Linked DNA regions of Arabidopsis thaliana. The protein of the gene in region 2 interacts with the protein of the main gene of each other region in a biochemical or structural test. Each region holds a gene or a part of one and is shown on either strand. Other genes may lie near its edges.

Region 1 (4,505 bases), on a different chromosome or scaffold from region 2:
GGAGACTCTTAATTAGATATTAATAATGTAGAAGTAGTGAAGAGAAAATGTGTTTGGTTGAGACGTATAAATTGAAAGCCTTTTGCTGATAAAATCACAAAGAGAGATCAGCAATGAGGAGCTTGAGGTTGAGAACAGTTGTTGTTGCTACAATAGTCGTTTGTCTATCGGTCCTCCTATCTCCCACCGGTACGTAAAATCAAGATCTCTAACTACATAGATACACAAGTTTTTGTTATAAATGTATGTGGCTGTTCGTGTCGACAGAAGTGGATGGAAGCTGTGACTTCCCATTAGGTGCTTGTACTCCTTTCCGTGATTGCAAGGAGAGTTGCATCAAGTTCAAAACGAGGGCTGGACAGACTTTTTTTGATGGCAAGTGCCGTCCAAGGGATAGGCCGAGCGTGTGGACGGCTTGTTTCTGCTGCTATTATGATAGTATCGGTGCTCAATAAGAAAACATGTGATTCCGAAACCATATAATCGACATCGCTTTGTTCTACTCTGCTTTGCTTTTGTTTGTTGTACTCTGCTTAATCCAATAACAGAGATAACGTTTCGAATAAAGGTTGGATGTTTTGTGACAATTCAGGAACAGAGAGATGATAAGTCAAGCTACACCCACATAGTTCCATGCAGAGAAAATTATAATGTCAAAATTGAAAATTGAAAATTTGTCTGTCAAAGTTGTAATTTATAAACCTCCCAAAGAAGAGAGAAAACATTACATCACATCGGTGCATAAAACAGCAAAAACTACAGGGCCGAAGCAAAATCATTCTTACACGTTTCTGTGAACAGAGTTTATTCTAAAATACTCCTTAAGTCTTGAACATTACAACATACCATAGGTTGTATGTATCATCCTCTTCTACTTCTCCCCTGTTTTCACCATCATATACACATTATGGTATACACACTAGTAAAAGGAATCAAGCCTGTGTGGTTTCTCCTGCTGCTGCAGCACCATTTGTCTTCACACGCTTCTCCTTGTAGTCTTTCACAGCTGCCTTGATAGCGTCCTCCGCCAACATACTGCAGTGGAGCTTGACTGGTGGGAGAGAAAGATGCTTTGCGATTTCGCTGGCAAAATAAATCACAGAAAGAGAAGCACACATTCAGAGTAAGTCTTCAGATATTGAGAAACTCCATGACAGAAATCACAATGTTTACTTTGTCTAAGAAAAAGAAGTCAAGAGGTCTGCATCATTATAGGCTGGAAAACCTTAAATACCATACAAACCAAACCAGTAACCAATCTCAGACCAATTGACCAAAATCCAGTAACTAAGTTCATCTAAACAAAATAATCACATTACTTCGTCTCAGGTATGTCAACATTCAATGAGTGCAGCAATTAGATAACACGAGTGTTCATATTTATGTTAAAAATCTGCAAAACATGAATAGGAACACAGGGCATACTAACCAGCAACCAATATTGTACCAACAGACAAAGTCCAGTGACCAAGTTCCTCAAAACAAAATAACAGTCATGAAACACAGTAACTGGTATATCAACATTTAATGAGTTTAACCAATTAGACAACACTGATTGGCATAACACAACAACTCACAACAGATTATGTTAATATCTGCATAAAATGAATAGAAACAGACGGTACTTACGTGTTTTTGATGGTCAGAACATCCTCCATAGCTTTGCCTTTCACCCATTCAGTGGCTGAAAAAAACGTAAAAATGAATCATACATTAGATAACAGCAACAAATCCCCAGAGAGAAGATAGCTCCCACATAGAAGCTAAGCCAGAAACTGACGACATCGCATCAAAAAGATGAAATCTTTCTCAATAACATTAGGAGACTAGGAGTATTACAAATTCAGCATTGAATCACCAATAAAAACGTCTCAACTGACCAAATCATGCACTAATTTGTCATTAACGACACCAATCCCAAATTTGAACACCGAATCTCTACACGAACCCATCAATTTAAAACCTAATTTCTCCATTTGAGAAAGACTAATCAAAATCCCTAATTGAAATCATTTAATTTCTCTAATTCAATCCTCAATCGAACAAAACACGAAATTAGAATATAAACATACCAACAGATGAAGAAGCGATGGCTGAACCACAACCAAAAGTCTTAAAGCGAGCATCAACGATTTGACCAGTCTTCTCATCGACCTTGATTTGAAGCTTCATCACATCACCACAAGCGGGAGCTCCTACGAGTCCCGTACCAACGTTGGGATCATTCTTATCGAAAGACCCAACGTTGCGGGGATTATCGTAGTGGTCGATGACGTTCTCATGGTAGGTTCGGAGGATACCAACAGACCACGGTGTTGATTGACGTGACGTAAGCCCTAGGGCCTTCTTCGCAGCTTGCTTGAGCATCATCGTGTTTTTTTTAGGGTTTCGGAAGTAACTTTTGCTCCGCTGATTTTGGTAATGAGAAATGAGATCGGACTTTTCCTTTAAGGGTTGTGAGAAGAAGTCGGTTTGGTTTCAGACAGAGAGATAAGCGAGGGGACACGTGGACGGTTTAGATGGTTCTGAGATATTTGCTATTTCTTTTTTCTTTTCTTTTTTTCCTTTGATTTTTTCTTTTAGTATTAGCTAACTTGAGACGCTAACCTAAACTTTAGATTGAGATTTTGATAAGTTGACTTTTTCTTTTCAATTATATTTTTGATATCCTTCAAATGTTATAGTTTATAAGACCTATCGCTCATAAATCGTACTTTTCAAGTTTACAATTGAATCGGAACATACTTCTTTTACGCAAACAATAGTCATGATGATTTAGTATGTGTATAGAAAGTTCTCAAATTTCAAGTGATGAAACAGTCTATTTAAAATTAACCTTAATTCATTAACGTATAGTTAATCATAACAATTAAACCTATAAGTTATAGGCTATAACAACATTATAGGCGAATGTCTTCGTCTAGATAAGTTGTGAGGAGCCATCTACGACTGTGCATTGTCCTATGGTAAACATATATTTGGTTAATGGTTGATCTTGATCATTTGAAAAGTCGTTTTGCAACATTAACAAATATATTTGTCTGTTATTTTTAGACGGCACCACCGGAACGGATTGGAAGCAAGATCAAGTAATAGATCTGAGATTTGGAAAGCTTCTCGTGAAGCGAGTTAGATAGCAAATTAAGTTGAGGATTGAGAAATATGGATTTTAAAATATATTAATATGTATTTTTTAAAGTAGTACATATAGATTCGTAAATATAAAGTTATTTTAAGACACGAGTTCATTATGCATCTATACCGTGAAACATGTGGTACCGAGAAACAAACAAAAATTTAAGTTTCATTATGCATGCAATTGGTTTCAGATATAATATTTTTTTTTGGACAAAGGTTTCAGATATACTAATAAAAAGCAAAAACAAACAAACAAATATGATTGAAGGAAAAATGAATCAATGATGATGATGAGCGCTTGGTCTCCGTTGATTTAGCATCTACCACTTTCTTTGGCATTGTTGATTAGTATCTAAAAGTTGACTAATTTAATGAAGAAATCAAACGAAAGATTCTAAATATCTATCTTTATCTACACAATACAATAGTATTGATCATCTACAATAAGAGTCGGGGGTGTATTCAGTTAACTATTTAAAATGATTTGTCTTAAAATCATATATCTTACGTCATTTTAATCCCAACGACTTGTCCAGTGCTAGCTATAAATTAAAAACTCGCCTTTTGCCTAAATGAATCAATCACAAAGAGAGAGAGGGAAACAAAATAGAAAGAAAGAAGCTAAGAACTAATAAGCAATTAATGGGGAGCTTAAGGTTGAGCACAGTCGCTATTGCAGTAGTCGTTTGTCTCTCCATTCTCCTCATATCTCCTACAGGTACGTAAAAAAAACCAAAGTCTTTGATCCCAAGATCTAAAATAAAACATGTTTATAAAATGTAGTATCTTCCTATTGATTGGACAGAAGTAGATGGGAGGCAAGTGTGTGACTACGATAAAGGTGAATGTAATAGTTATGAGAAGAGCTCTACTTGTATTGAACCATGCAAGCAATTGGACAGCAAGTTTATTGGAGGCCGATGCATACCTGTTGGTGGTATTACTGGTATGGGGTTATGTGTTTGCTGCCGTGATGTACAGCGTGGTGCTGAAAAGGAAAGCATGTGATTTGCAAATGATACAAAACGACGTCACTTTGTGTCTGTGTTTTGCGATTTGCATGTTAATGATTTCAGCTCAAAATCTATATTTGAGTGTTTGCCTTCTACAGATCTGTTTGTTTTGAATTGTCAAGTCTTAAATAAAGTTGGATTGTTTTCCGATTATGACCTGACCTATTCATCATATTTTTTTATTTTTTTTATTTTTGTCTAATTGAAATCTAAATCGGAGGGGAAAAAATCAACAAAAAGAATTTTATACGAGTACATTAATTCTTGCAAATGTTAAATTATCCGTCTTATGATTTATACAAATAAGAATTGAATTAAGGGAGAAACTGATAAATACTTGTTCCTAACAAAGTT
Region 2 (4,357 bases):
TTGAGTTTGACGACTTAAATTCTGACGATGACTTACTAGGAAGTTGACTCCAAAACTTTTTCAGTTTGTTTAAATTTAAAAGTTAATCAGTTTGAAACAACCATCGTCATCCGAATATACAGTATATAGGCCAGTGAGTACAACAAAACAAAAAGCTTTCCTCAAGCAAATAATCAAATGTATAGTTTTTGCCTTTTTGTCCTGTGAAAGAAGGACTTCACAATCCTTGTTCAGCTTTACTCCGTTCTTCAGCCATTCTCTTCTTGATCTCATGTGCTGCATTGAAAATCCCCATTGTTGGTTGGTTACACACAAAGCATTTCTTGTTCTTCGTGTGATGCTGCATCATTACATTAAACAAAACTCATTAGTATTTCTTCACAACCAAAAAAAAAAACAGACTCGTAATTGTGATTTAAGTTATGATCATACCTTTAAAGCACAATGCTCACAGAAGTAATGCTTGCATTTGGTGACAACTGGATCAAGAAAAGGCTCCCTGCAAATGAAGCAAGCAAAGGGCAATGCATTTTCGTCTTCGTCGCTATCCTTGTCAGCCTCATCATCGTCATCCTCAACTCCCATAGCTTTATTTCTCTTCCTAACTTTCTCTGCCTCTTCCCACTCTTTCTCTATCTGCCATCCCGGCTTGTAATCCCCACGGTCATGCAAGAACTTACACGAATCTCCATATCCACAGTATCCGGTTTCCTTGTAATCCTTGCAAATGTCTGGCTGGTAATCGAATCTAGCCGATACTCTGATGTGAGCAGAAGCTCTTAAAGGCCCGTGTGAGCCTCCAGCTTTCTCGCTCGAGATTGTTTGTTCTCTTCTAAACCCAGCTTTGTGATCTGTATATCCATGAATTCCTTTGTACAGCTTCTCATCTGAAGCCTTTTTCTTATTCCCCTTCAATGCATGGTCTGCTTTTTTAAGAACTCTTTCACGGATAGCTCGAGCGTCTTGATTGAAGTCGGTTTCAGTTTCAAGGGTCGCTGTTGCTCCACTGTCGTTCTGAACCTGGATTTCCTTGGATGAATCGTAGTGAAAAACGGGTCTCTCAGGAGCTCCACTCGTTCTAGTAGATGGTCCAGAAGAAAAGTACAAGTTGCTATCGGGTTTTGCAACTTTCTTTAGATTTTGTAAAATAGAGCTTTCGCTTTTCGAATCTCCGTCTTCTTCATCAGCGTCAATGGTTCTTTTCCTTATGTTTTTACTTTTCGTTGGCTTCTTGAAGAAAGTGCAAACTGAAACAGAACAATGATTTGATTAGTGTAAATGAAAATTTCTAGCTAACAACGAAGAAGAAGAAAAAATCTCAATGAGGCAACAACTAGAATTGAGATACAAGGAAGTAGTATATGTAACCTTGTTGAGACTCCTGATTGTTGGAGTTGTCGTTACCAAACTCCGCCATGTTCATCACCGTATCGTTACCACCGATGCTACTAGAGTTAGAAGCGTTAATCGCAGAACCATCAGCTGACTCAGTGTGATCGATCCGTCGCTTCTTCATCGGCGAAGAAGCGGATGCGACGATGTTCTCCTTAACAACGAATGGTTCCATGTAGAGTAACTGGAAGAGAGAATATGTATCAAATAAGCAGGAGAAGCTTCGAATAACAAACAAAGACAAGAAATGATTTCCGATGACAAGGTTCCTAAACCCTAATCGATGAAGAAATCTGAAGATGAAATGAGAATTGGAGGAGAAGAAAACGAAACCTTACCCAGTGACCCGGTTGACCCGGTAACCCAGAAGGTATTCCGATTCACCGTCCGGGTCGGAGGCGATAAGCGGCGAATTTACTCGGTCTGGTACGATAAGATAAATATCTGGTTTTGGTCTTGTAACACTAAACCAATTTACTCGGTCTGGTTCGATTAGGGACAAGTAGTAGTAGTAATCGATACACGACGATCTCTCCAGAGCCAAAACCTCTCCTGATCCCGTAATGAAGAAAACGAAGACGATGGTGGCTTCCATCTCCACCCTTATTAGACGGACCTATCCTTCAACTAACCAGTGTAATTCACTCGCGACGATTCAATCACAAACCCAATTGCCTCGCGAATCTCTGCAACATCATTCTTCAGCTGAGGGACGACTCCGATTCTCCGGGAGAGTTTTCTGCTCGGAATCTGGCGCCGGATGCTGGAACTGTGGCGAGAAAGCTGCCTTTTTGTTCTGTAACTCATGCCGTAGCATTCAACCTGTTGATGACTCCGTCGACTATTTTCAGATTTTTGGCCTGTAAGTGTGTAACGAGTTGATTAGAATCTAGGGTTTGAGGAGAACCATGATAATAATGTGGATTCCTGTTTTGTTGGGCTGAGGAGAAATGATAGAAAGATTGAAACTTTTAGTTGAATTGATGCAAAAGATGAGACCTTTGAATTGGGTTTTGAATTTTCAATAACTTGTTGTGTCTATATAGGGAGAAGAAGTATGAGATAGATCCTGGAAGCCTTGAAGGCAAGTACAAAGATTGGCAAAAGAAGCTACATCCTGATTTAGTTCATAACAAATCTAAGGTCTCTTTGTTTCTGGATTCTCTTTTACTATGGGACGCAATGTTTATTACTCCTCTGTTCTTAAAAATTAGCTCTTGTGTTTTGAATTGTTAACAGAAAGAACGAGACTACGCAGCCGAGCAGTCTGCAAAGGTGACTGAAGCGTGCCGGACATTAACAAAGCGGCTGTCGAGAGCAATGTATATCGTAAGCTCTTCTTAACTTTCGTCATTACGTTTTTGAGGATTCTCCAAAGCTGCAAGTTTTCCTGAAACTATTTGATTATGTAGATGAAGCTGAATGGTGTAAATGTCAATGAAGAAGAAACAATAACAGACCCAACATTGTTAATGGAGGTAAGTGAATGTACTTGCCAAAGATTAGTCTTGATGCCATATATTAGTTTGTGAGACTTTTTCTTCTACCGTAAAGGTGCAGATACATGTCTGCCATAAATAAACACATTTTCACTTAGTTATATTCATTGAAAATGGTGTCAGATTATGGAACTCAGAGAGGCCATATCAGAAGCAGATGATTCAACATCGTTAAACCAGATCCGATCCCAGGTACCTTGAAAATTCCTGATTGAGCTAGCTTCCTTCAAATGGTCTTTCTTTCCGTTAGCTTTCCAAACACCTTAAAATCTGTAGCTCTGGGCATCGGTTGAATATGCCAAACTGATCTAACCAATGCGATTTTGTTGTTTTTCTCAAGGTACAAGAGAAACTAAAGCAATGGTCTGACTCTTTCGTCGAAGCGTTTGAAAGCCAGAAGTTTGATGATGCTGTAAAATGTATACAGAGAATGACTTATTACGAGCGAGCCTGCGAAGAAATTTTGAAGAAGCTATGAGGCAATTAGTCCTCCCTTAAAAACGAACACGTTTTTTTTTATGTTTGCCTTATAGCTTTACGGGTCACATTTGAAAGGAACAGATCATGGCTCATAACTGAAAGTATCTTAGCTACATGTTTTAGTTTAGTTATATAGAACAGAGGACTCTGTATTTGTAATAAGAGGATTTACAGATTTCGTATCTGTTCATGGGCTCGATTTATGGGTTTCACTTATGGGCTGTTTATGGGCTGTTTATGGGCTCGATTCCTAGAATATTCCCATGTATTCTCAAAAATCCCCAAAGAGAAGTCAGGCATAGCTCCTAGTGTAGGTGAATGACTGAATTCCCACTAAATCTTTCTACTCGTGTAAAGAGTTATTATAATTTTGAGATTCTCAACTTACTACTTTTTAGTTGAGCTTCTACTGTAAGTGTAAAGACTTGCTAAAACCACTGATTAGAATCAATTGTTACTTGTTCTCCTCGTTTCTTAAAATATAGCTCTTACTTTTTGAATTGTTAACAGACAGAAAGAGGACTTTGTAATAGAGCATTTACAGATTTCGTTGCTTAGAAAAAGATTTGCTTTGAATCAATTTGCATGAGTTTCTTCCCATGGATACAGAATTACAGTGATATGTCAGTGATAGTCATGCAGATACGGTATCTAAGATACGGTATCTAAGATACCGTTCGCTGTGCTACTAAAGCCGATTTCTTCTGTAGAGCAATCCGGGCAAGATCATGCTTGCCTTCTCTGTTTAACCCGTAGAAAACTGTTCGGAAATTGATAGTGCTTGGAGCAATACCCTTATCCAGCATCTCAGACAGAAGCTTCAGGGCATCTTCTGATTTGCATGCTTGGCACAAGCAGTTTATGAACTTACTATATGTTTTAAAATCTGGTGAAGTTCCTCTCTCTTCCATATTGCGGAATGCATTCCAAGCCTCTTCCACTTTTCCTAGGCTCATGTATCCACATATCATTGCCGTATATGTAAC

What was found.
Region 1: the proteins of AT5G06410 (region 2) and ISU1 form a complex in vitro, tested with the Arabidopsis thaliana proteins (one study listed by BioGRID).

Annotation. Positions count from the first base shown.
Region 1 is NC_003075.7:11,758,512-11,763,016, forward strand, and holds ISU1 (SufE/NifU family protein), read right to left. Parts: upstream 2,547-4,505; 5' UTR 2,371-2,546; coding exon 2,073-2,370; intron 1,685-2,072; coding exon 1,630-1,684; intron 1,084-1,629; coding exon 933-1,083; 3' UTR 592-932; downstream 1-591. Other genes in the region: AT4G22217 (defensin-like protein), read left to right, coding at 114-189, 268-455; AT4G22230 (defensin-like protein), read left to right, coding at 3,781-3,856, 3,944-4,146. UniProt on the Arabidopsis thaliana protein: Scaffold protein for the de novo synthesis of iron-sulfur (Fe-S) clusters within mitochondria, which is required for maturation of both mitochondrial and cytoplasmic [2Fe-2S] and [4Fe-4S] proteins.
Region 2 is NC_003076.8:1,958,731-1,963,087, reverse strand, and holds AT5G06410 (DNAJ heat shock N-terminal domain-containing protein), read left to right. Parts: upstream 1-1,929; 5' UTR 1,930-1,955; coding exon 1,956-2,254; exon of another isoform or gene 2,255-2,407; intron 2,408-2,438; coding exon 2,439-2,535; intron 2,536-2,631; coding exon 2,632-2,721; intron 2,722-2,804; coding exon 2,805-2,870; intron 2,871-2,940; exon of another isoform or gene 2,941-2,960; intron 2,961-3,014; coding exon 3,015-3,083; intron 3,084-3,087; exon of another isoform or gene 3,088-3,231; coding exon 3,232-3,369; 3' UTR 3,370-3,721; downstream 3,722-4,357. Other genes in the region: AT5G06420 (Zinc finger (CCCH-type/C3HC4-type RING finger) family protein), read right to left, coding at 218-340, 433-1,247, 1,369-1,567; AT5G06400 (Pentatricopeptide repeat (PPR) superfamily protein), read right to left, coding at 4,037-4,357. UniProt on the Arabidopsis thaliana protein: Co-chaperone required for the assembly of iron-sulfur [Fe-S] clusters in both mitochondria and cytosol. Required for the activity of iron-sulfur proteins such as aconitase and succinate dehydrogenase.